Linked DNA regions of Macaca mulatta. The protein of the gene in region 6 purifies or fractionates together with the protein of the main gene of each other region. This does not show direct contact. Links are inferred from orthologs where the notes say so. Each region holds a gene or a part of one and is shown on either strand. Other genes may lie near its edges. The genes, in order: SLX4IP, PGAM5, TOPBP1, RTEL1, PLK1, SLX4 and KPNA1.

What was found.
Region 1: the proteins of SLX4 (region 6) and SLX4IP purify together in Homo sapiens (affinity purification with mass spectrometry; 6 studies listed by BioGRID and IntAct, with this or other methods). This does not show direct contact. The link is inferred for Macaca mulatta from reciprocal best matches to the Homo sapiens genes SLX4 and SLX4IP.
Region 2: the proteins of SLX4 (region 6) and PGAM5 purify together in Homo sapiens (affinity purification with mass spectrometry; 4 studies listed by BioGRID and IntAct, with this or other methods). This does not show direct contact. The link is inferred for Macaca mulatta from reciprocal best matches to the Homo sapiens genes SLX4 and PGAM5.
Region 3: the proteins of SLX4 (region 6) and TOPBP1 purify together in Homo sapiens (affinity purification with mass spectrometry; 3 studies listed by BioGRID, with this or other methods). This does not show direct contact. The link is inferred for Macaca mulatta from reciprocal best matches to the Homo sapiens genes SLX4 and TOPBP1.
Region 4: the proteins of SLX4 (region 6) and RTEL1 purify together in Homo sapiens (affinity purification with mass spectrometry; 3 studies listed by BioGRID, with this or other methods). This does not show direct contact. The link is inferred for Macaca mulatta from reciprocal best matches to the Homo sapiens genes SLX4 and RTEL1.
Region 5: the proteins of SLX4 (region 6) and PLK1 purify together in Homo sapiens (affinity purification with mass spectrometry; 9 studies listed by BioGRID and IntAct, with this or other methods). This does not show direct contact. The link is inferred for Macaca mulatta from reciprocal best matches to the Homo sapiens genes SLX4 and PLK1.
Region 7: the proteins of SLX4 (region 6) and KPNA1 purify together in Homo sapiens (co-immunoprecipitation; 3 studies listed by BioGRID and IntAct, with this or other methods). This does not show direct contact. The link is inferred for Macaca mulatta from reciprocal best matches to the Homo sapiens genes SLX4 and KPNA1.

The regions. Positions count from the first base shown.
Region 1 is NC_133415.1:73,400,844-73,404,343, reverse strand, and holds part of SLX4IP (protein SLX4IP), read left to right. Parts: intron 1-2,434; coding exon 2,435-2,535; intron 2,536-3,500.
Region 2 is NC_133416.1:140,086,406-140,089,905, forward strand, and holds part of PGAM5 (serine/threonine-protein phosphatase PGAM5, mitochondrial), read left to right. Parts: intron 1-1,270; coding exon 1,271-1,449; intron 1,450-3,358; coding exon 3,359-3,484; intron 3,485-3,500. UniProt on the Homo sapiens protein: Mitochondrial serine/threonine phosphatase that dephosphorylates various substrates and thus plays a role in different biological processes including cellular senescence or mitophagy. Modulates cellular senescence by regulating mitochondrial dynamics.
Region 3 is NC_133407.1:36,675,406-36,678,905, reverse strand, and holds part of TOPBP1 (DNA topoisomerase 2-binding protein 1), read left to right. Parts: intron 1-999; coding exon 1,000-1,192; intron 1,193-3,198; coding exon 3,199-3,419; intron 3,420-3,500. UniProt on the Homo sapiens protein: Scaffold protein that acts as a key protein-protein adapter in DNA replication and DNA repair. Composed of multiple BRCT domains, which specifically recognize and bind phosphorylated proteins, bringing proteins together into functional combinations.
Region 4 is NC_133415.1:116,545,797-116,549,296, forward strand, and holds part of RTEL1 (regulator of telomere elongation helicase 1), read left to right. Parts: intron 1-720; coding exon 721-795; intron 796-910; coding exon 911-992; intron 993-2,731; coding exon 2,732-2,864; intron 2,865-3,050; coding exon 3,051-3,164; intron 3,165-3,255; coding exon 3,256-3,296; intron 3,297-3,416; coding exon 3,417-3,500. UniProt on the Homo sapiens protein: A probable ATP-dependent DNA helicase implicated in telomere-length regulation, DNA repair and the maintenance of genomic stability. Acts as an anti-recombinase to counteract toxic recombination and limit crossover during meiosis.
Region 5 is NC_133425.1:23,221,136-23,225,084, reverse strand, and holds the start of PLK1 (serine/threonine-protein kinase PLK1), read right to left. Parts: upstream 2,801-3,949; 5' UTR 2,390-2,800; coding exon 1,982-2,389; intron 1,243-1,981; coding exon 1,074-1,242; intron 323-1,073; coding exon 178-322; intron 1-177. UniProt on the Homo sapiens protein: Serine/threonine-protein kinase that performs several important functions throughout M phase of the cell cycle, including the regulation of centrosome maturation and spindle assembly, the removal of cohesins from chromosome arms, the inactivation of anaphase-promoting complex/cyclosome (APC/C) inhibitors, and the regulation of mitotic exit and cytokinesis.
Region 6 is NC_133425.1:4,823,916-4,827,415, reverse strand, and holds part of SLX4 (structure-specific endonuclease subunit SLX4), read left to right. Parts: intron 1-2,046; coding exon 2,047-2,236; intron 2,237-3,135; coding exon 3,136-3,348; intron 3,349-3,500. UniProt on the Homo sapiens protein: Regulatory subunit that interacts with and increases the activity of different structure-specific endonucleases.
Region 7 is NC_133407.1:161,329,039-161,332,538, forward strand, and holds part of KPNA1 (importin subunit alpha-5), read left to right. Parts: intron 1-3,108; coding exon 3,109-3,234; intron 3,235-3,500. UniProt on the Homo sapiens protein: Functions in nuclear protein import as an adapter protein for nuclear receptor KPNB1. Binds specifically and directly to substrates containing either a simple or bipartite NLS motif.

The DNA.
Region 1 (3,500 bases), on a different chromosome or scaffold from region 6:
TAGGAAATCCTGTTCCCAGGTGATAGCTGCTTCCTAAGGAATACTTGTTTGGGGGCAGGGGAGAGTGGCACTGGAGGCTTTGATTTAGAGACAAAGGGGAGTGAATTGACCCTAGAAATGTTAGAGTAAGAGATTTCTAATGAGACCTGACAGCTCAGGGGCTGAAGAGGGAGTCTAATCTTTTTTTTCCTGCCCACCCAGTCTTCATACAAATGTAAATATGCCTCCTTCAACAAATTGCCAAATGTGGTTTTAATTTGTAAGCAGGAGACCCCGCCTTGCCTTTCTCTTTTTCTTTTCTTTTCTTCTCTTTTTTCTTTCTTTCTTTTTTTTTTTTTTTTTTTTAAATGAAAACTAAGTCACAGATTTTACACTTTTTGAACAGGACATTTCCTCCTGTCACTCTGTCACCTTTTCTGTTGTCCCGTTTCTTCCAAGGACATTTTCCCTCATTGTTGTCAGAGGAATTTGGGATGAGAGCCGACTGCTCTGCTTCTTAAAGGAGTTTTTGAAGTTCCCAAAGGAAATGCATAGTGCTCTTTAAACTGAATTTATAAAATAAATAAATAAAGGCAGTGATTGAATTTAATACGAGATTTGAAGAGAGTGTCACTATCGCAGCATAATACTTTATGTGGCATATGCAGTATTCATTGTTGTTATTTATGACCCTGTCTGCCTTGCATTGTGGATTTCTTCCAGCCTTGGGGAATTTACATCATTCCTAATAGCAAAAGGCTTTCTGGTTCCCACAGAGTTGTTCAAAGCCTGACTCATGCTCCTTATGTTAATTGTTCAGCTCTGAAAATACAGCACTTTACAGGGTGTGGTTGTAAGGGGAGATTCTACTGTACTTATAGGGCATGTTTAGAAGTGTTTCACACATAAATCTCGATTCCTCTCTCTCTCTCTCTCTCTCTCTCTCATTTGAATTTTAAGATGTCACTCATTTTGGCCAACTAGTAAGTCTTAGAAAACAAACCAAAAAAAAGGGAGTATAATCCAGTAAAACATAGAATATTCTGTTCACTAGCTTAAAACTCACTTGGGTTATAACCAGATATGACTTTGAATGACACTGGCCCAGGTCTGAGATGGATAGGCACAACTGAAGAGCATGGAGAGCCCATCCTCAGTGGTGCAGGGCAGTGATTAGGCAAAGCACATCCCCTCAGCCTGTAGGGTAACCAGGCGTGGTACTCATGGCTGCCACCCACCAGGTGCTCTGGGGCTGTCACTGCTAATTCCAGTGTCGTTCTAAAGCAAGGACCTAATGACAGTTTACTAAAGCTGTTTCTGGTGGTAGCAACATTTTATTGGAATTTGATGGGGAAGAATACTTAGTGTCTCAGAAAATGAGAGGAGTTAATACTCGTCTGGATTATGTACTCGATAACCAAAAGGAGAAGAGATTCCAAAACTATGAAATGGGTTAATGTTGGCAAGGTAGGTAGGCTTTTACATTTTATAATTACTTCCTTATGATGCTTCCATGGGAACACAAAAGGCTAGATAGGCAGATAATCTATGAATTATATAAAACCAGAGTGGTGGTTAGTATAAGGAAAAAAGTCCCGAATTTTTTAGTAGCCAAGAATCACAAACTCCAGTTTTCAAAATACCAATATTAAAATATTTGACTATTGCTACGGTCTTGGGTGTTACAACTTTTTTTTTTTTTTTTTTTTTTAGACGGAGTCTCACCCTGTCACCCAGGCTGGAGTTCAGTGGCGCCATCTCAGCTCACTGCAAGCTCCGCCTCCTGGGTTCATGCCATTCTCCTGCCTCAGCCTCCTGAGTAGCTGGGAGTACAGGTGCCCACCATCACGCCTGGATAATTTTTTTTTTTTGTATTTTTAGTAGAGACGGGGTTTCACCATGTTAGCCAGGATGGTCTCGATCTCCTGACCTCGTGATCCGCCCACCTCAGCCTCCCAAAGTGCTGGGATAACAGGCGTGAGCCACCGCGCCCGGCCACAAAATATTCTTTATTTTTGCAGATAGAGAAAATATGGGGAATTCTTAGGATGGTAAGGGTGTAGACCACTGTGTCACCAGGTCTTGCTGGAAGAACGGAGCTCACAGGCACGCTGCCCCACACAGTAGGATTCTGGGGCTTTTGTCACAGCCTGGGCCTCACAGTTACCAGATATTGGCCAAGACTTCCCAGATGGTTTGGAATCAGCATTCTTTGCCTTACAGTTTTGTATGTTTATGGCACATATTAATGTTTGAAATGTAGACTGGGAGTCCAAAAGAAGTTACAATTAACCATAAAGTTCTAGGTAAAAAAGGTTAAAATAGCTTACCACTGAGCAGTTTCATTCAGTCTTTACAAAAATAAATGTGTTCATTGGGCATTCAGAGTGTAACTGTTTTCTCTCATGTTCAGCTAATAGATTTCTGGTTGAACCTTTGTTATCTTTTGGAGTAGACAGAAAGAGTTCTCCATGGAGTGTCTGATTACTTTGCTGAGTGTGCAGAGAGTTCACTTCCTCCCAGTGCAAAGCTCCGGAGAAATGCTCTGAAAGAAATGTAGGTGCAATGTGTTTCCTTTTTCTCATTTGTGACTGCCTCTATGTATGGATAGATAACATGAAGTCCAGAATTAAACAGAGTGCCTGGAACTGAAGCACAAACTCCCCTCCATCATGTACTTGCTCTCCCCTCCCTCCTGACTCTCTTGCTTTCTGGACAATAGGGATAGAGTCCTTGCTTCACAGGTGTGTTGCAAGGAGTAATTAATGACACGTTCTTTGAAGATGAAAAGCACCTGTTGGTGGTGTGTTTCATACCACTTTCAGAGGGACTACAGACAGATCTAAAAAATACATTCCTTTCCTAAGATCCTTGTTCCGACTTTAATATAATTACAATAATCCTCATACTCCTGGTGTCAACAGTAAGAACATGAGTATTATATGTATTTGTTTTCACACTGAAGCTAGCCAAAATAAATATTTCAGCTTTCAATGTTTTGGTGGTTGAGGAAATTTCTTGCCATTCACAGACCTGTAAATATATGCTGAAGTTAAGATCTGTAGTCTCTAATTCTCCCTGTGCAACTTCTATCCCGCCCCTCAAAGTTCATTTTATCATCAGAGTGAAGTTACATTGTCTGTTGTGCATGCCGTTAGAAGCAAGGGGCTTATATACAGCTATATCGACACTCTTTTGTCTTCCACGATTGCATTTTATTGCCTTTCATGCTGGCTATCTGGAATTTCTTCCAGGACATTTCAAATTATATTAACTAAGTCCTACTCCCATTTGTTGATCAAGTTTGATCAACAAACATGACACCAGCTAAGTGGTGGTTGTATTTGGGTAATACCTTGAAATAGCCTGAGAGAAATTCCAGGAGATTATTCTTTACTCACAAGTAGAAATTGTGTGTATGTGTACATTTGTGTTCACAGAACCTGAGTCTACTCCTGGAAAAAAAAAAAAAAAAAAGTCAGCATATAAGCAGTACTGACCCTTAACATCGGAAATGAATA
Region 2 (3,500 bases), on a different chromosome or scaffold from region 6:
CACTGTCTCTGAGTAAACACCAGCAGGTTCCACTTCTGCTCTTCCCAGCTCTGCCGTGTTGAACTTTTTTTGTTGCTGTTCAGACAGGGTCTTGCTCTGTTGCCCGGGCTGGAGCGCAGTGCACTGCAGTGGCGAGATCATGGCTCCCTCCCAGGCTCAAGTGATCCTCCCACCTCAGCCTCCTGAGCAGCTGGGACTACAGCTGCGGACCGCTTTGCCCAGCTAACTTTTTAATTTAATATTTTTGTAGAGACGGGGCCCCCCTGTGTTGCCCAGGCTGGTCTTGAACTCCTGGGCTTCAGTGATCTGCCCACCCTGACCTCCCAAAATGCCGGGATCCGCTTTTTCAGATTCCAGCAGCTCCGGAACAGGACTTCATAATGGGAATGGTTTCTTCCTCACTGTCTGATGTGATAGTCACTATCCCATGTGGCTGCTGAGTGTTTGTTTATTTTCTGAGGTGGAGTCTCGCTATGTCGCCCAGGCTGGAATGCAGTGGTGCAATCTCAGCTCTTTGCACCCTCCGCCTCCCGGGTTCAAGCGATTCTCCTGCCTCAGCCTCCCGAGTAGCTGGGATTTCAGGTCTGTGCCACCAAGCCCGGCTGATTTTTTCCATTTTTAGTAGAGATGGGATTTCACCATGTTGGCCAGGCTAGTCTCGAACTCCTGACCTCAGTTGATCTGCCCGCCTCAGCCTCCCATATCCTGGGATTACAGGTGTAAGCCACTGCACCCGGTCCTGAGGGTCTAAAATGTGTTTAGTATGACTGAGGACATGATGTTTTAATTTTATTTAATTTTGCTTAAATTTTTAATTGAAACATCCTCATAGCTGGTGGCTGCTGTTGGGCATTGAAGTTCTAGGCTCTGTTGAAGCATCATGGTCAGGGAGGCTGTCCTGGTCCCGCGGACACTTTCCACCTGCCCACCCATAGCCGCTGTCCTCCTTCCTTTTCCATACCCACAGGTGCATTCTGGGTGGTCTGTCTCCTGCTGTTCACTGTCTGCCTCTCCTTATTAGAGAAGATGCACAGGGCTTTGCTTATCTGTTTTGCTTTCCAGCACATAATGCAGAACAGGCCTGGAACTAGCTTTGTGGGAGGGAGAGTAGCGGTATGCTCAGAGAGGCCTCCCCAGGGCTGTGTCGAGGTCCTTGTCTTCTCTCCATGCTCTTCCCAAATAGTTTGACAATCTGGAAATAACATCTTGTCAGAAAAACTCAAACTTGGGAACAGAGGTCACAAGGACCTATCTTGTATTTCAACATCAGGCGAGAACCGCTCTCTCTGATCAACCTGCGGAAGAGGAATGTGGAATCTGGGGAAGAAGAGCTGGCGTCCAAGCTGGACCACTACAAAGCCAAGGCCACACGGCACATCTTCCTCATCAGGCACTCCCAGTACCATGTGGATGGCTCCCTGGAGAAGGACCGCACTCTGACCCCGCTGGGTATGTGGCGAGTCAGACCCTCTGTGACTCCCTTGTGTGTGATGGGGTCAGACCCTCCGGGGACACCCTTGGGGAGGTGACGGGGTCAGACCCTCCAGGGACGCCCTTGGGGATGTGGCCAGGTGCATATCCTCTGCTGGTGCCTTGGTTACGTGATGCAGCTCCTCCGCAGACCCCCCCAGTCAGCTTTCTTGAAAGTGTTTGGGGCACTGGGTCTCCTGGGGCCCATGTCTGAGGCCATCACCCCTGAATCACACATTGACATTACCAGTAACTGTCCGCTGAACTTGGATAGAAGACAAGCTTTTAAAAATGTCTTTACCTTGGCCAGGCGCGGTGGCTCACACCTGTAATCCCAACACTTTGGGAGGCCAAGGCAGGCGGATCACCCGAGGTCAGGAGTTCGAGACCAGCCTGGCCAACACAGCGAAACCTCGTCTCTACTAAACGTACAAAAATTAGCCAGGTGCGGTGGCAGGCACCCGTAATCCCAGCTACTCAGGAGGCTGAGGCAAGAGAATTGCTTGACCCTGGCAGGTGGAGGTTGCAGTGAGCCAAGATTGCACCACTGCACTCTAGCCTAGGTGACAGAGCGAGACTCAGTCTCAAAAAAAAAAAGTCTTTACCTTTTAGCAAATGTTGGACCTATCTTGTTTGCATGAGACCAAATTTGGTACATATCCTAGCAGGGGTTTTGTGCCTGCTCGACGCCTTGGAAAGCCGCATAGCTTGTGCGCTCAGCTGCTCACCTGGACCTGCTGCCAAAGACCCTTCTCTTCTGCACTCACAGGCCTACTGCCTGGCGTCTGCTTTTTTTTTTTTTTTTTTTCCGGAGACAGAGTCCTGCTCAGTTGCCCAGGCTGGAGTGCAGATGTGATCATGGCCCACTGCATGGGTTCAAGCAATTCTGCCTCAGCCTCCCAAGTAGCTGGGATTACAGGTGCCCACCACCACAGGTGGCTTTTTTTTTTTTTTTTTTTTTTGGTATTTTTAGTAGAGACAGCGTTTCACCATATTGGCCAGGCTGGCCTCAAACTCCTGACCTCGTGATCCGCCCGCCTTGGCCTCCCAAAGTGCTGGGATGACAGGTGTGAGCCACCGCGCTCAGCCTGGCATCTGTCTCTCAATGCCCTGTTGAACAGGCAGGACTGAGCGACACGATCCTGCCTGTCCCCACTGGCAGACGCTGCATAGACAGCGCCCAGGAGGGTCCTTCCACCCTGTCCTTGTGTTCCTGTGCAGGTGGATCTGTAGGAGAGATGCCTAGAGAAGGAAATGTGGGGTAGGCTAAGGTAGAGTTTACACTTTGAAAAGTTCTTTAAATGGGATAGTGTCTGTTCATGCACATATTAAAAGTTCAAATGGTAAAAATGTGCAGGGCTGTCCTCCACAGATGCCTCCCTCAGCCCCCAGAACTGTCCCGGCTGCTTGTATACAAAGAAAGTGGAGTGACAGACGCAGCTGTGGCTGCATCCAGTGGACTCGGCCTTCCCGAGGGCCTTTCCACCTGGATGCCAAAGCTCACAAGAGAAAAGGTGTCTGCACTGGTGTCCGGCCCCATGTAGCAGCTCGGGGTGTTTAGGTCCTGCTGTGTTGGCCTCCGTCATGGCGTGTGCCTGGTGGACCCTGAGGCTCAGGTTTTGGGCATAGTTAAGTGACGGTGACGAGGGGACTCAAACCACCAGCCACTGTCCGATTTCCTGCAGTTGATGGAATCGGATGCTTTTCTTTTTCCTGTATGGGGGTGAAGACAGTTGAGTGCCAGCCCCTCAGGCCCAAGCCTAGGGAGAGCAGGAGCCACGGGATGCACTTGCTGCCTGACGCGGGCTCGTGCTTGTGGGTGGAGGAGGGCGCGTTTGCGGGCGGCGGAGGGGGTGCGGGTGCGGCACTGAGGTGTTTCACCCTCCAGGTCGGGAGCAGGCTGAACTCACGGGGCTCCGCCTCGCAAGCTTGGGGTTGAAGTTTAATAAAATCGTCCATTCCTCCATGACGCGCGCCATAGAGACCACTGATATCATCAGCCGGCACCTGCCAGGTAAGTGCGGGGTGCG
Region 3 (3,500 bases), on a different chromosome or scaffold from region 6:
TATATTTTGTGGTCTGTGTTTTCAAGAGCCTTTAGGGAGTCTAGGCACAGTGGCTCACACCTGTAATCTCAGATCTTTGGGAGGCCAAGGCAAGAGGATTGCTTGATGCTAGGAATTCCAGACAAGCCTGGGCAACATAGTGAGACCTTGTCTCTACAAAAAATTTAAAAATTAGCCAGGCTTGGTGGTGTACAACTGTAGTGCCAGCTACTCAGGAGGCTGAGGCTGGAGGATCACTTGAGCCCAGGAGTTAGAGGTTATAATGAGCTATAACCATACCACTGCAGTCCAGCCTGGGCCACAGAGCAAGACCCTGTCTCTAGAAAATTAAAAGAATCTTTGGGAAAAATCAGACACATGCACAAATGACTGTAATGCATCTCAGAGTGTAGTATATACCATAAGAGTTAGAAGCAGGCAGGGAGCTTTACAGAGGGATAATCACTACAGGTCTTGATGAAATGTCTTTGAAGGGGGACAGGCACAGTGGCTTACGATGTAATCCTGCACTTTGGGAGGCTGAGGTGGGCAGATCACCTGAGTTCTGGAGTTCAAGACCAGCCTAGCCCATGTGGTGAAACCCCGTCTCTACTAAAAAATAGAAAAATTAGCCAGGCATGGTGGCAGGCACCTGTAATCCCAGCTATTTAAGAGGCTGAGGCAGGGAGAATTGCATGAACCTGGGTGGTGGAGGTTGCAGCGAGCCGAGATCGCGCCACTGTCCAGCCTGGGTGACAGTGCAAGACTGTCACCAAAAAAAAAAAAAAAAAGTCTTTGAAGGGCTTCCTAGTTACTTCATATACAGTGCTTGTGGTAAGGGCTGCTTTTTATGTTCTACAGTATTCATAGTCTTAGTACATTACTATAGCCTGTAGTTAGTATTCAGTAAATGTTAAGTCAATAAGTTTGTGTTCAACCAGGTCTAAACAAAATAGTTAATGTAAGATATGGTCAGAAAGAGAAACTTACCTTGAATGGTGTATTTGTGTTTGTTTCAAGTTCTGACACAGACCTTAGAGATGAGAGAGAACTTTCAGAAGCAGTTACAGGAGATAATGTCTGCAACATCAATAGTGAAACCCCAAGGGCAGAGGACTTCCCTTTCAAGAAGTGGTTGTAACAGTGCATCTTCAACACCTGACAGCACTCGCTCTGCTCGCAGTGGACGAAGTAGAGTCCTAGAGGCACTGAGGTGTGTACCTGTCACTGATGGCAGAAAAACTAGATGACTTGAGAGAAAGGATTTATGCACCTGCTGCTGACTCAGTTCCATGAGCTTGGCCTAATTTAGTTTAGTTTTGTTTTTTTCCCCAATATGCAGTAAAAGCAGAAATGTAAAATATCAAGACTAGTGAAGGGGTTATACGCCTAGGCCTTATTTAGCCCAAACAATAAATATTATATTCCAGTATTATCTATTGCTTTTGGCTCTCTGCTGACTAGATTTTTCGTTCTAGCTTGTCCTTCCGTCCCTTGCTCCCAGCAGTTCTAGACTTCTTACTCGGAGGTGGCAGCAGACATGGAGGTTTGTCTTACAGCAGCACCTGCTTCACAGTGAGGCATGATTGATACTTTTTATTATCTCTGTTGAGAAAGAAATGATTTTCAGATCTAATTTGCCTCAATGGATTCAGTAGGCAGTTCTCTCTGTCTACTAATACACTAATATTGAATAGTATTTGTATTAAACAATAAGTACATATATTTTTTTTCAGTCTTTTTCTAATGCAATATATAAAATTTTAAAGTTATTTTTGTTGGAATTTTGCATGCATTTTGTATTTTGCTTGTAAAATTTATCTTCTAGAAAAGGTGATTACAGTTTTTAGTGTGATGTGACTTAAGCTCAGTTGCATAACTTCATCTTTTTCGTGATAGAAGAAAAAATCTATAATTGTGTGATAAGAATTATGGAACTTGTATTTTCAATTGACTAATTGAATTAAGTATAAGATAAACTAGCATTTATCTTATGCTAACTGTGTATTACATGAGGCAGTTCATTATGTCAGTACTGAGTAAAGTAGCTTTTTAATATGCTTCAGATCAAGTTTTATCATTATAGAGAACCTAAATCATGTACCAAATCAGAGTAAATAAATATACTCTGAGAACAAAAGACTATATTCTTTATTTTTGAAGCAAAGGAAGTCTTTTTTTTTGGCAGGGGGCGGGGGGTTCCTTTGGTAAACTGTTTTATGGGTTTTGGTGGTTTTTTTTTTTTTTGAGACAGAGTTTCACTCTTGTTGCCCAGGCTGGAGTGCAGTGGGGTGATCTCGGCTCGTAGCAACCTCTGCCTCCCGGGTCCTGGTTCAAGCAGTTCTCCTGCCTCAGCCTCCTGAGTAGCTGGGATTACAGGCATGTGCCACCACGCCCGGCTAATTTTTGTAGTTTTAGTAGAGACGGGGTTTCACCATGTTGGCCAGGCTGGTCTCGAACTCCTGACCTCGTGATCCGCCCGCCTCAGCCTCCCAAAGTGCTGGGATTACAGGCGTGAGCCACAGCACCCGGCCTGTTTTGTTTTGTTTTGTTTTGTTTTGTTTGCTTCTCCACAGTATAAGTTTTATGGTAAATTATTTTTACTAAGAATGATTGAGTGAATATAAAGAAAATTACAGGACTTCTATTTACTGTCACGTAGAATCATTACGATTGCACCATAAAATGCACTTCCCTGTAATTCAGCATATTGCTTTTCTACCATAGACTCTGGAAAGTGGTTACCAATAGCCAAAAGGCTCTTCTGATAAGGCAGCCTTTATTGCCAGCCTCCCTCGTAATCATAGTGCTTATAATTTCAAGTAATTAAAAAATACAACTACTGTTAAGTAAAGTAACCATAGTGTTTGAAACATTGTATAATTAAGGAAAATCACATTTTTAAATGTACCAATTACTTTTGTATTTTTAAAAAATTTCTTGACAGTATTGAATTTCTCCTTCGAAGTTTTAGTTCTGTAGACATTGAGTCAAAATATGTGTTCCTAGCGTTTTATACTTTTCTGGAAGAAACCTTAAACCTTTTTTTTTAAAAAAAAAAATGTCCCTAGGGTCATTTATTTAATATTTTTAATGCTTACTGTGTGCTAGATGATGGCATATAAAGGTAAGCCACAACTTTTATGGGCTAACTTATGGATTTAATGAGTTTGGATTTGTTATTGCTGTTTATTTAAAACTGTCACTTTTATTCCTTAGGCAGTCTCGTCAAACAGTACCTGATGTCAACACAGAGCCTTCCCAAAATGAACAGATCATTTGGGATGACCCTACAGCAAGGGAGGAGAGAGCAAGACTTGCCAGCAATTTGCAGTGGCCTAGTTGTCCCACACAATACTCTGAGCTTCAGGTTGACATTCAAAACTTGGAGGATTCTCCTTTTCAAAGGCCTTTGCGTGATTCAGAAATTGCTAAACAGGGTAACAAGAAAGAAATCTTTGCATTTGTTTGTATTAAGTACATGTTGACCTCTTAAAAATAAACAGATGAGCATGTTGTTG
Region 4 (3,500 bases), on a different chromosome or scaffold from region 6:
ATGCATGTTGGAGTCAACCTGTCTGCTTCCTTTAAAAATCTTGCTGTGATTTTGACTGGAATGTGTGGAATTCCTGTGTTTTTGAGTCAGTGTCTCTCTGTTGCCCAGTCTGGAGTGCAGTGGGACCATCACAGCTCACTGCAGCTTCAACCTCCTGGCCTCAGGGGATCCTCTCAGCCCAGCCTCCCAAGTAGCTGGGACCACGGCACGTGCCACCACGCCCGGCTAGTTTTCATATTTTTTTGGTGGAGACCCCGGGGTTGCACCATGTTGCCCAGGCTGGTCTCGAACTCCTGGGTTCGGGCAGTTCGCCCCTCTCGGCCTCTCAGAGTGCTGGGATTACAGGCGTGAGCCACTGCACTAGGCCATGTTGAATTTCTAGATTAATTTGGGACCCTTAGGGGCACAGAGAGGAGGGCTGGGCCAGCTGGTGGGAGGAGAGGCCTCTCGGGCTGCCGCGTTTCCAGTGCACGGAGATGGCCTGCGTAGGGGGAACAGAGCTCACCGGGGGTCCCTCCAGGGAGGAGAAAGGGTCAGGCAGGTGCCAGCTCCTGTCCATCAGCCTGGGGCTGCATGATGGCAGGGGCTGGTGAACCGATGACCTCTGGGTGTCCTGTGACCTTCCGTGTGTGGGGCTGATGCCGCAGAAGATCAGGTGGCCTCCAGGGCTCTGGGCTCTGGCCTCAGGCTCCTCACGGGACTGCACCTCCTCTCTTTCAGATTGTGTTTAGTGTGGACCCCTCCGAGGGCAGCCGTGGTTCCCCGGCAGGGCTGGGACCCTTACAGTCCTATAAGGTAGGGGCCACCTCCAGGAGGCAGGTGGGGCTGGGGGTCCTGCAGTCCTGAAAGGTAAGGGGCTGCCCCCAGGACATGGGTGGGGTCTCCACACTTCTGGTCCTGTCCCCTCCAGGTGCACGTCCATCCTGATGCTGGTCACCGGAGGACGGCTCAGCGGTCTGATGCCTGGAGCACCACTGCAGCCAGAAAGCGAGGTACAGACCTGGGCCCACACTCTCCCCGCCCGCCCGGGTGTGGTGCTCAGCACCAGCATGCCACAGGCTAGGCACGTGGCCAGCCGTGGGTCTCCTGCCCCCCTGGGCCTGGCCACCTTCTCCATGTCCAGGCCAATCCAGAGCATTCTCCTCACTGTCCCTCTGAAGGCTGGAGTTACTGAGAGACATGGGAGAGGGCCTGATGGCACCGTGACCTGCCCAGAGTCACCTGGTTGGTGGCGGCAGAGCCACAGCTCAGCCAGGCCTTCCTGCTGGGACACACTGGTTTATGCCAAGGCCGTCAGCACGGAGCCCCACAGTGAGGCACAGCTTTCCCTGCTGCCTCCACCCAGCGCCTGGCTGGGCCAAGCCTCAGGGTCTCATCTGAAGGGGGCCCGACTGGCCCTGTTGTCCGAAGCCTCTGGTGCGCTCGGCCCTGAGGCCCCACGTGCCTTGTTGGCTTCCTGTGCTCTGTGGCGTCTTCGAGTCGGTGCTGCCGGGTACCTGTGTGGATGGGGCCCGTGAGTGGGCCCTCGGCTCCGTGTCCAGAGTCCTGTGGTTCTTGGAGTGTGTCCGGCCCCACCCGGCCATGTGGTGTCCAAGGGGGGCTTTGTGGCGGCAGCGGTGGGAGCTGCTGCCCCTTCTCGTGCTCCAGTGGGGCCTTGCCTCTGGGCTTGGTTCGTTCCTCTCTGGAACGTTCTTTCTCAGAGCTCTCTGGCCCGCGGTGGCACGACGTGGCCCTGGCTGAAGCAGCCCCCGCGTGGTTGCTGTGGTTGGTCTGCCTGGCCGAGCCGGAAGGGGAGGGCCGGGAGGGCGTCAGGGTTGCGTGGCTTGACCCCCGGTCGGTGACTCGGTGATGGCCTCGTGGCAAGGCGTCTCCCGGCAGGAAGCGTCCATCCTGGGGGGTCGTGGGAGGCGGCGCGTGCCTGAGGCAGCTGGCGCACAGATCCTGAGGGCCTGGAATCTATTTGTTCCATTGACCTGTGACGTCACTTGACTTCTGAGAAGCAGCCGCTCCCTGCGTTGGGCGTTTGTAGGAAATGAGCTCCTGGAGGTGGAGGTCGGGAAGTTCCCCCGCTGCAGGGCACGCTCAGCCCCAGGAAGCGGAGTGACCTTTGCTGGGAGAGGTGCCTTGTCCCTGCTGACCCCGAGTCACAGTCAGCGTCGTTCTGCTTGTGCCGTGTTTAATTCCTGGTGTCCGGTGCCCAGGCTCAGTCTCCTCCCCAGGCCGCGGCCGCTGCGGTCAGTCAGTCAAGCACTTCTAGGAACTTCCTTTGAACCGGTGCCCTTGTTCGCTGCTGACGCCACTCGGAGGCTTCCTGGCGGAGCGGGGAACTCGCACTTCCTCTTGTGCGCGTCCCTGGAATGTCGGGACGCTGGCGCTTGCTTCCCGTGCGCTCTTGGCGGGATGAGCTTGCCCTGAGCTGCATGTCACCGTTTCTGCAGAAGTTTAGGGTTGGAGTGGGCTGACCTCTCTGGAGGTGTCCCCAGCATCTGCCTGGGGTCTGCCTCGTACTCCCGGGACCCCCAGTCCCCCAGAGGGGACCCCAGCTGGCAGACTGCGCTCACACTCAGGGCAGCCTCCTTTGTTCTGAATTCTGCACGCTGGGCCTGGGTGGCTGTGGGCGGCTCACTTGCTTGATGCCAGTGGGTGAGAGGGTGATGGGCAGAGAGGCAGGCGGTCAGGCCCCCAGTCCCGTCCTCACACCCTGTGTCCCCTGCTCCCCTCCGCCCCACAGGGAAGGTGTTGAGCTACTGGTGCTTCAGTCCCGGCCACAGCATGCGCGAGCTGGTCCGCCAGGGCGTCCGCTCCCTCATCCTTACCAGCGGCACGCTGGCCCCGGTGTCCTCCTTTGCCCTGGAGATGCAGATGTACGGGCCACCCCTGCCAGGGGCCTAAGCACTGGTGACGCCTGTGACGTTAGTGGGGTGGGAGTGCTGGGGGTCCCCATGAGCCGGGGTGCTGGGGGTCTTGGGCCTCACTGGGGGTCTCGGGCCTTGAGGGCTAAAGGGGTGCTGGTGTCCTTCCCCACTGTCTGTCCCTCCGGCCATGCTCAGCCCTTTCCCGGTCTGCCTGGAGAACCCACACATCATCGACAAGCACCAGATCTGGGTGGGGGTCGTCCCCAGAGGTCCCGATGGAGCCCAGCTGAGCTCTGCGTTTGACAGACGGTGAGGGCCTGTCCCTGGGCCGTGCTGGGGTGCGAGGTCGGGGAGTACTGAGCCCTGAGGCCCTGAGCAGTGGCCTCTCGGCTCTGTGCAGGTTTTCTGAGGAGTGCTTGTCCTCCCTGGGGAAGGCTCTGGGTAAGTGCCCGGCACACCCCAGCTGTGCCCATCCTGGATCCTGGACCCTGCTCCCAAGAGCTGGTAGGGACCCCGGAAGACGCCCCGCCCCTGCCCTGACCCCAGCCCCTGCACTTCCAGGCAACATCGCCCGCGTGGTGCCCTACGGGCTGCTGATCTTCTTCCCTTCCTATCCTGTCATGGAGAAGAGCCTGGAGTTCTGGC
Region 5 (3,949 bases), about 18 Mb from region 6:
ATACACCAGTGACAGGGAAAGATATGGCAGTTAGGCTTTGTTTGGGGGTAACCTGTCCCCTGCAGTAGGTTTGCTGTAAAGCAGGCCGAAAGGTCCACAGAAAAGGTCAGCCAGGTAGGATGTCCCAAAGTTGCCCCTGCTGAGACCAGGTAGATCCAGAGATAACTCCCAACTTACATGATACACCCAATAGACCACACATCCACCTCGAAACTGTGCCCTTTCTTGCTCAGCACCTCAGGAGCTATGTAATTAGGAGTCCCGCACAGGGTCTTCTTCCTCTCCCCGTCATATTCGACTTTGGTTGCCAGTCCAAAATCCCCTGGGACAGAGGGAGGAAGAGCGGGTACTTAGATGCCAGCCTCTGCCATCTGTCAATGCAGAAGGCTAGTTAAGGTTTGACCATCAAGAACCAGGGCCATTTGATCCCACAAGCTTCTGCTCCTTGTACGCAGCAAGGCTTGCCCAGGAATCTTCCCGCCATGCTGACACCAGGGAGGTGCCTCCAGTGACCCTTCTCACCCCTCCCCTTAGAAAGGGGCTATACTTCGAAACGGGAACTGGCAGGGATAGCAAAACTCCAGTGCCTTCAAGGATCAAGCAAGTTAACCTCCAAGACTTGGCAAGTCTGTGAAGAAGTAATAGGGAGGAGTAGAGACTGTGGCAAACAAGTCTGAAGGGGACAGCTGCTTTCCAGCCCAGCAAAGGACTGCCCTAAGAAAATGCTGTCCTCGTATTACTGGAGCTTTCATGACTGTTTAAAAGGAGCTCTAAATCAAAATTTTTATGTCAAACCTTCCAATTTAAAAAATAAAAACAAATTCAAATTCTTTGTAAAAAAAGAAAAATGCTGTATTGGGGCACAAAAAATAATGCATCTGTAGGCAAGATACTGACTTGTGGGTTCTTTGTTTGAAATTTCTGGACTAAAGAGAGAATTCTAGAGGCAATCAACAGCCCAAACTTCCCACCATCCTCTTCCTTCCTCCTGGTCTCCTTCCTTTCTCCCAGCCTCCTCCAAATTCCAGCCTCTTGGAGTGATGTCAAGCACCCCTGCAGGCTCAGCAACTCACCTATTTTCACCTCCAGATCTTCATTCAGGAAAAGGTTGCCCAGCTTGAGGTCTCGGTGAATAACTCGGTTTCGGTGCAGGTACTGACAGCCAAGCACAATTTGCCTTAGGTAGTATCGGGCCTCAGGCTCAGTCAGGGCTTTCCTCCTCTTGTGCAGCTCCAGGAGAGACTGTGGATGGGAAGGAGAGGGCAGGAGGGATGGGGAGGTGGTATTGAGGCCGGTGGGGAAGGGAGAGGGTTACCAGGCAAAGGAAGCACAGGACTGGACTCTGGACTCCCAAAGGATGAAAGAGGGGTCTTGGTGGGTTTCTCTCCTTCCCTATGCCCCCACCCCATTCCTTTTCCAGGACAACTGGCATCTGGACCCTGCCTTAACACTGTCCACAACCATTCACAGCACCCCTTCTCCTACTAGCTTTCTCCCTTACCTGGGGGTCCTCTCTCAGCCCCACTCCGGAAGTCCCCAGCAGCAGATCCCTTTCCTGACTCTTATCTCCCTCGGAAGGCCCGAAGTCTAGCTCCAACTACCCCCTCACTGACCCAGCTACACTCCGGAAGCTCCCAGTGCCCGGCATCACTAACCCGGGACTCCTCCCTGGCCACTCCAGGGCCCTAGCGTCCATTACCAGCACCCCTCCCCCCAAGTACCTCGCGTCCAGAAGCTGACCTCCCTATCAGCAACATGACTCAGACTCCACTTCACCGGAACCCCGTCCTCCAGCAGCTCCAAGAGCCAAGAAGCCCTTACCAAAGGCACTTTCCATACCTAAGAGGGAGGCTCCCAGCACCCTTCTCTAGCAGCTCCAAGTCCCAGGTACTCCCTTCCTGGGCACTCTTTCCAGCAGCTCCAGGTCTGGGCGCTCCAACTGCCCCGCAGGCAGTTCCAGTTAACCAGCAGCGACACTCACCCTCCGGCGGCAGAGCTCCAACACCACGAACACGAAGTCGTTGTCCTCGAAAAAGCCGTGGAATCCTACGACGTGCTGGTGGGCGAGGCTGCGGTGAATGGATATTTCCATGGACATCTTCTCCCTCTGGTGCGGCTTAAGCAGCAGAGACTTAGGCACAATCTTGCCCGCGAACACCTCCTTGGTGTCCGCGTCCGAGATCTCGAAGCACTTGGCAAAGCCACCCTTGCCCAAAAAGCGGCCCCGCACATAGCGCCGCCGGCTGCGTGGGTCCACTAGGACCTCCGGGATCTCTTTCGCCGGTGGAGCCGCCGCCGGAGCTCCAGGAGCTGCAACTCCGGGGACCCCGGCTTTCCCAGGGTCGGCCGGTGCCCGTGCCAGCTTCCCTGCAGTCACCGCCGCACTCATGCTCCTGGAGCTGCTCTGCTGACCTGGATCCGAGCAGACGCTCCGCACCGCTCAGCTCCTCCCCGAATTCAAACGCGGCGCTGGGAACGTTACAAAAGCCTGCGCGCCACTGATTGGCCGCGGGGATTTAAAATCCAAACCCGCCCGCCGCGCGGCACCATGGGAGCGCCCTGCGCAGCAGCTGCCTTTAAACCCGGACCCAGCCGGGGAAAAACTTGATTGACAGGGACGCCCGAACACGTGGGATAGCCTGGGAAACCAAATCCGGCGTGGATGCGGAGACCCAGCCCCGAGAGGGGAGGAATTCCTTCGGGGTTTCTCCCTTTCTCGGGCGTCCGGGAAAGCTCCTGCAGTTCGCTTGCGCCTCCTCCAGGAAGCTTTTCCTTAAATCTTCCTCCACCTCCACCCCACCTAGAATATAAGCAATCTAAGAGTAGGGAACTGGCATGCCAGCAGGTCGTTTAAGAAAGCCTTAGCATCCGCCTCCCGATGCCGTCAGCTCTCAGCCAAGCCACCCGAACTGAACTAAAATCTAAGTAAAAGTGTGCTTGCCAAACATACCTTCATGGCTAGTCTGCTCCTTCAAATAACTGCCGCTTCTGAGCTCCTCCGGATTACAAAGCAACGCTGCTTAAAGAAGGGGCCATGGAACAGCAGCATCGCCATCACCTGAGAGCTTGTTAGAACCGCAAAGGCAAACATTCAGGCCCTACTCCAGACCTCCCGAGTCAGTGTCCGCCTCTCAACAAGACTGCTCAGGTGATTCCTACACATCCTGAAGTTGGAGAAGCACAGTACCAGAGTCCTCCATGATGCAAGGAAGCTGTCTGGCCTGCTCGCTACTGAATTTCCCAGGGCCTAAAATAGTGGACACTCAGTTTCTTGGTCAGAGGGACGGAAGGTTGGAAGAATGCCTAGCAAACTGGCAGGTCATAGCCAAATGTGTCTTGCAGGGTTTTGTTTGGCCTCCCACGTGTGTGTGTGTGTGTGTGTGTGTTTTGTTTGGCCTCCCACGTGTGTGTGTGTGTGTGTGTGTGTGTGTGTGTGTGTCGGAGTCTTGCTCTGACACTGCAACCTCTGCTTCCTGCGTTCAAGCAGTCCTCCCGCCTCAGCCTCTCAAGTAGCTGGAATTACAAGCGTGCACCACCGTGTGTGTGTGTCGGAGTCTTGCTCTGACACTGCAACCTCTGCTTCCTGCGTTCAAGCAGTCCTCCCGCCTCAGCCTCTCAAGTAGCTGGAATTACAAGCGTGCACCACCATGCCCGGCTAATTTTTGTAATTTTAGTAGAGAAGAGGTTTCACCATGTTGGCCAGGCGGGTCTTGAACTCCTGACCTCAAGTGATCTGCCCACCTCGGCCTCCCAAAGTGCTGGGATTACAGGCATAAGCAGCCATGCCCGGCCATTGTAAAACATTTACAGCATTTAAAAGAGGAGGTCATAAAAATTTGGATTTGTGGCCTTTCCTGAAAAAAATCAGCTCTAGCTACTTAACTCTGTGCCTACATGCTTTCAGTTTGCCACAGTTCCCATTTACACCCCTTTGTTCTTTTTTTTTTTT
Region 6 (3,500 bases):
CAGGATGGTCTCGATCTCCTGACCTTGTGATCCGCCCATCTCGGCCTCCCAAAGTGCTGGGATTACAGGCTTGAGCCACCGCGCCCGGCCAACTTTTTTTTTTTTTTTTGACAGAGCCTTGGCTAGAGTGTAGTGGCGCGATCTCGGCCCACTGCAACCTCGGCCTCCCAGGTTCAAGCTATTCTCGTGCCTCGGCCTCCTGAGTAGCTGGGATTACAGGCACCCACCACCACACGCGGCTAATTTTTTTGTATTTTTAGTAGAAATGGGGTTTCGCCATGTTGCCCAGGCTGGTCTTGAACTCCTGAGCTCAGGCGATCTGCCCTCCTCAGCCTCCAAAAGTGCTAGGATTAGAGGTGTGAACCACTGCACCCAGCCCCATGACAAAAACTGAGTTTTTGAAGAGGCTAGGCTAATTGTATTATAAGATTTCCCACTCTCTGGATTTGTTTATTTCTTTATGGGATCCTTTAACTCCTTCCTCTAACCCTTGGGTTGCCCCGGGTTGCCCCACTCTGAGTGGATTAGAGGCTCATTGGCTCCAGGTGACAGCGTGTGGAGACAGTGCCCCATAGCTGCTGTGCACTTGGTGTAGCACCAGCTCCATAAGCATAATAATGCCAGGTGCTTCTGTTCTCCATCCTTGAAACAATATGGATTCTCATTTCTGATGAAAATTTACAAAGGGAAAAGAAATAGGAAGAAACTATTATTGGCGGACCTAGAGCTAATAAGTATGCAGGCTCTTGGCATTGCATTGCAGATTTCACTTCAGTAACACCGAGGAGTCTCAGGCCGCCCCAGGGTCCACAGCAGGCAGTGATTTGATGTCCTGCCGAGGCATCAGTCCTGGATGCACATGTGAGGTGTAGAGGAGGCACCCAGCTGGTGTGAGCTCCGCCCCTGCCCAGCATTTGACTCAGTTCTTTCTGTATCTTCACATCACACCCAGCAAGCTCTCAGAAAGAGATAAACCATTTCTTTGTTAAGAAACCAAACCAGGCTGGATGTGGTGGTTCACACCTGTAATCCCAGCACTTTGGGAGGCCAAGGCAGGCAAATCACCTGAGGTCAGGAATTCAGGACCACCCTGGCCAATATGGTAAAACCCCGTCTCTACTAAAAATTAGCCAGGTGTGGTGGTGTGCACCTGTAATCCCAGCTACTGAGGAGACTGAGGCAGGAGAATCACTGGGACGTGGGAAGCGGAGGTTGCAGTGAGCTGAGATCGCGTCGATGCACTCCAGCTTGGGGACAGAGTGTGAGACTGTCTCAGGAAAAAAAAAAAAAGACGACCAAACAAAACAGGGCACCAAAATGAAGGTGTGCTGTTTTGCTGGCCTCAGTGGCAGGCACTGGTAGGCCACAGCCATCAAAAACTTGGGGGTTTATGAGGCGTTCAGGGCGTATCCCTTGTGAGTGACAGGGGTCTGCTCCAGCAATACCAGATGGGCCACCCTGGGAGCCATCTCAAGACCAGAATCAGTCCATTCTAGCGTCTGATGCTAAGTAAGAGATGCTGCTTTTTAACCGCCAAGGGCATTTCACTCTGCCCTGGTTTTATCACGGGCAGTAAAAGGTCAGCAGGAAAGGTTGAGCTTCGAAGAGAACATCTAGCTTTGTTGGAATATGAGCCTTGTGAACCTGCAATGCCCAAGGTAGCTGACTTTAGCAGAAGTGGGGAAGTGTAGGTCCTTGCTACTCAGAGTGGTCCTGCGGTGCCAGCATCGCCAAGCCTGGGGGCTGCTAGGAAGGCGGAGAGTCTCAGGCTGCACCTGGACCCCCTGAACTTGAATCCGAGTGTCGACAAGCTTCCCAGGCAATGCATATGCATGTTAAAGTTGGAGATGGCTGTTGCAGAAGTGCTGACTAGTGCCCAGTCTCACTGGACAGTGCCTGAGTCACCGGTCTGCAGAGTGGAGCTGGGTTCTGGTTTATTTGTGCTCCCCCTGCTCCCCATGGTCTGCAAGAGCCGACAGAGCAGAGGTCTGAGGGTGAGCTTGTCTTTGGAGTTGATCCTCACGGATCTTTGGTGCTTCTCCACAGTGTTTGGGCTTGGGCCCCCTGCCCCAGAGAGCGACGCTGCGGTGGCCTTGACCCTGCAGCAGGAGTTTGCACGGGTAGGAGCATCGGCACATGATGATAGCCTGGAGGAAAAAGGGTTGTTCTTCTGCCAGATTTGTCAAAAGAACCTCTCAGCCATGAACGTGACCCGAAGGGAACAGCATGTAAACAGGTGGGGGCAGCGTGGGCCGTCACCTCTCCCGTGTACGTGACCAGAATCCCCGGGCACCCCAGGGCTGGAGTGGGGATCTCCACACCTTACTGTGAAAATAGCACCTCAGCTTTGTTGTCAACCTACCCCTTTTTAAAAAATAACTTTGTTGAGATATAAGTCACAGAACATATAGTTCACCCATTTATTCACACAGTTGTGCAACTGTCACCACAATCACTTTGGATTATTTTCATCACCGCCAAAAGAATCTCCACACCCATTAGCAGCCACTCCCTATTGCCCCTCTCTCCCCTGACAACCACTAATCAACTTTCTGTCTGGATGGATTTGCCGATTCTGAAATTGCACAGTTGTCCTTTTGTGTCTGCCTTCTTTGACTGAATATGTTGTTTTTGAGGTTCATCCATGTTGTAGCATGGGACAGGCTTCATTCCTTTTTGTGGCTGAGTAGTATCTCATTGTATGGATAGACTGTGTTTTTTTCCCATTCTTAGATGAGGAATATGACCGTGGTTTATCCTTTCATCCATTGACTGACATTTGGAGCATTTCTACCCTTTGGGATTGTGGATAGAGCTGCCGTGAACATGGGTTTCATGTATTTGTTTGGGTACCTGCTTTCAGTTCTTGGGGGTCTATACTTAGGAGTGGAATTTCTAAGTTATCATGTAACTGCATTTAATCTTTCCTTGCTTTATTTAGCCAGCTTTGCTAACAGATACCTAAGTGTAGTGACTAGGGGCTGACTGCCAGGAAACGGAGTCAGGCTGTGTGGAGGGATTAGCTTTGGGGAACTTGCTTTGACCACAGCACATCCATGATGACCTAGACCCACATGTGCTCCAATCCACATTCCCGGGGAGGGTGGTTCTCCTGTATTAACTGTCTTCCTTCAGGTGCCTGGATGAAGCTGAAAAGGCACTAAGACCTTCCGTGCCTCAGATCCCTGAGTGCCCGATTTGTGGGAAACCATTTCTGACCTTAAAGAACAGAGCCAGCCACTTGAAGCAGTGTGCTGTGAAGATGGAGGTTGGCCCCCAGCTCCTGCTGCAGGCCGTCCGGCTGCAGACAGCACAGCCTGAGGGGAGCAGCAGCCTGCCAGTGTCCAGGTGAGTCAACGAAAAGGAAGAAAACCAAGCCAAATATTGCTGTGTGCACTCAGGGCTTTTTCTATTTAAAAAAGCTTTTTATGGGCCAGGCGCAGTAGCTCACACCTATAATCGCAGCACTTTGGGGGAGGTCAAGGTGGGCAGATCACCTG
Region 7 (3,500 bases), on a different chromosome or scaffold from region 6:
CAGCTCTGAGCTTTAACACATGGTTTATTCCCTCTGCCTGGAACATATGCCTTCACTGCTACCCCTTGCTCTGACTGCCACCTCACACATATCCATATTCTCTACTCCTAATGTTTTCTTGTTCTTGAATTCTTGGTATTATCATTATTTTCTCTGAGAATGCTTGTTTGACCCTAAACTTTTAAGTTAGGTACTTATTCTTTTTTCTTCATCCATCAGAATACTAATCACATTGTATTGTAACTAATTACTAGATTTTAAGATTCTAGAGGTAGATTATGTCAGTGTTTATTTCTGTGCCTCTGTAAATCTAATAATTTCTGGCACAATATATAGGGACCTAAAGAATATTTATTGAATGGAACGAAGTTCTGAATCTATACGTCTAGTTCCGATCTATCTCACGTTTCAGTCCTATATCTGCAGTAGTCTCTTACATATTTCTGCTTGCTTTGCATATCTCACATACGTCTCGCAGTATGTCTTCTTTCCCCCACAAAGCAAGTTCCAAGTTTTTATTTTTCCTATTTCAAGTAATGATATAACTATTCTATTTACCTACACATGAAACTTGGCAGTCACATGTGGTGTCTTCTTCCCTTCTACTTTGTATAGCAAGTTGCCAGGTCTTCTTGATTCTTATTGTTACTAGATCCCCATCAAATTACGTTCTTTTGGTCCTTGTCACACACACAGGTTGTTGCTGTACCCACCCATCCTCCTACTCTCCTAAGCAGTTACTCATCTCAGTTTATTCCCCCTAATAACAACTGAATCTCTCCTGAAATAATGTTATTTACATTATCTTCTTTTAGAAACAATAAGCTGCTTTAGTGCCTGTAAGATAAAGAACCTTGAAAAGATTCAAAGGAATTTCTCCGTAAGATTTTAGTCTCATTCTTCTTTCTAGCCTATTATTTTTGGGGCATAGAACTCTTTCTTAATTAGCCTCATCATGGCCAGGTATGCTGGCTCATGCTTGTATTCCTAGCATTTTGAGAGGCTGAGGTGAGAGAATTGCCTGAGCCCAGGAGTTCCAAACCAGCCTGTGCAATATAGCAAGACCCCATCTCTAAAAACATTTTTTTTTAATTAGCTGAGCATGATGGCATGTAACTGTAGTCCTACCTACTCTACTCAGGAGACTGAGGTAGGAGGATTGCTTGCGCCCAGGAGTTTGAGGTTGCAATGAGCTATGATCATGCCACCACACTCCAGCCTTAGTGATAGAACCATACTGTTTCTTAAAATGAAAATAGCCGCAGTAGTCTGTTCTTATGATACTTTGTAATAGCTTGTCTCTGCATTTTTTCATTTCTTATGTGCAGTGTCAGTTCTCCTTTTTGCTAATGAAATCCTGTTGCCTATTTAATAGGCATAAAAGACTTGATTTTAATTTGCATTTCTTTCATTACTTATGAGATAATTTTCTATTAAAATTTTAGTTTCTCTTTTCAGTTTACACAAGGAAGATAGCAACCCTCTCATTTGTTGCAAATATTTTTCACATTGGATGGTGTACATTTTTAAAATCTTTTATGATTTTTGACAAGAAAACATTTGTTTCATGAAATTTTTGTTTTCTCCTATAATTTATTTTTATGCTCAGTCTTTTACCATCCCCAAATCAGCTATTTTCTAATATTCTGCTTTATGATTCCTTTTAAAAATATTTACTCTTAAGTAGCTGCAAGTTTATTTTGGCAACTTAGGGTTTTTATTAGTCTGTTATTTCACTGCTATAAATACCTGGCCGAGTGCAGTGGCTCCCGCCTGTAATCCCAGCACTTTGGGAGGCCGAGGTAGGTGGATCACATGAGGTCAAGAGTTCAAGACCAGCCTTACCAACATGGAGAAACCCCGTCTCTACTGAAAATACAAAATTAGCTGGGCATGGTGGTGCGTGCCTGTAATTCCAGCTACTTAGGAGGCTGAGGCAGGACAATTACTTGAACCTAGGAGGCGGAGGTTGTGGTGAGCAGAGATTATGCCATTGCACTCCAGCCTGGCCAACAAGAGTGAAACTGTCTCAAAAAAAAGAAAAAGAAATACCTAAGACTGAGTAGTTTATAAAGAAAAGAGGTTTAATTGGCTCATGTTTCTGCAGGCCATACATAATGTGTATAGTAGCTTCTGCTTCTGGGGAGGTCTCAGGAAACCTAAAGTCATGGCGGAAGGTGAAGAGAAAGCAGGCATGTCTTACGTGACCTGAGCAGGAGCAAGGAGTAGGGAAAGGTGCTCCATACTAGAACAGAACCATGGCTAACCATTCTTGGAGGATCCACCCCATGATCTAGTCACCTCCCACTAGGCCCCACTCCAACCTTGGGGATTACAATTTGACATGTGATTTGGGTGGGGACACAGATCCAAACCATATCAGTGTTAAGAACTGATTTTGAAAAAATTGTTTTTAATCTATTTAGCTTTTTATTCCAGTTCTGTCAAAGCCACCAGTCATTGGGAGAAAGGGTTAATTTTTATTATAAACTTTATACATAGCTGCATTTGTTTTTAGAATAGATCTCTGTTCTCTTTGTTTAGTGATTAATTCTTAAACCTGCCATATACTATCTTAATCACACTTTTTTTATTTTTGTTTCTAGTAGAGTAAGTCTCCTTCTCCATGTGTATTTGTGTTACCTCCTTCACCTTTATAAACTGATAGCTGAGGTCATATCTTTTTTATCTTTGTATCCTATGAAGCACCTGATATACCTCATTAAGTACGTATTCATTCATTGACTACCAAGTAGTGTGTTATCAGAGGACCTACAAATCTGAGACTCCTGACTTTTCTGGCCACTTGATATATTTATTTATCCATTCAGAAGACTTACGCTGTTGGGATGGGAAGGTGAATGAGTAATGCTATTGCAGTTACTAAGTACAATTTAGCCGTTGTGAATGTGTACAATGAAACTGGATTGATAATCTTAGAAACTAATTCTTATTAACAGTGAATACTTTTTTTTTTACCTGTATAAAGTTACTTATTTATAAAATTTCAAGGGGAGATGTTATGTCTTTCATAAAATCTGTTCTTTAAGTTAAACATTTATATTTAGAACAATACAATAAGTAAAATTTTCAAACTTTTTCTTTTAGGTAATTCTGAATTGCTCAGCTCTGCAGAGTTTATTGCATTTGCTGAGTAGCCCAAAGGAATCTATCAAAAAGGAAGCATGTTGGACGATATCTAATATTACAGCTGGAAATAGGGCACAAATCCAGGTAACCTCATAGGACCTAACTTTTCTTTCAGTATTTTTATTGAAAAGTAAGGTTTTTTTCTCAGTCACCCTTTAAAACATATATTGTTTTCGGCTGGGTGTAGTGGCTCCTGCCTGTAATCCCAGCACTCTGGGAGGCTGAGGCCCGTGGATCACTTGAGGTCAGGAGTTCGAGACCATCCTGGTCAACATGATGAAACCTTGTCTCTACTAAAAATACAAAAAATTAGCCAGTCGTGGTGGCAGGTGCCTGTAGTCCCAGCTACG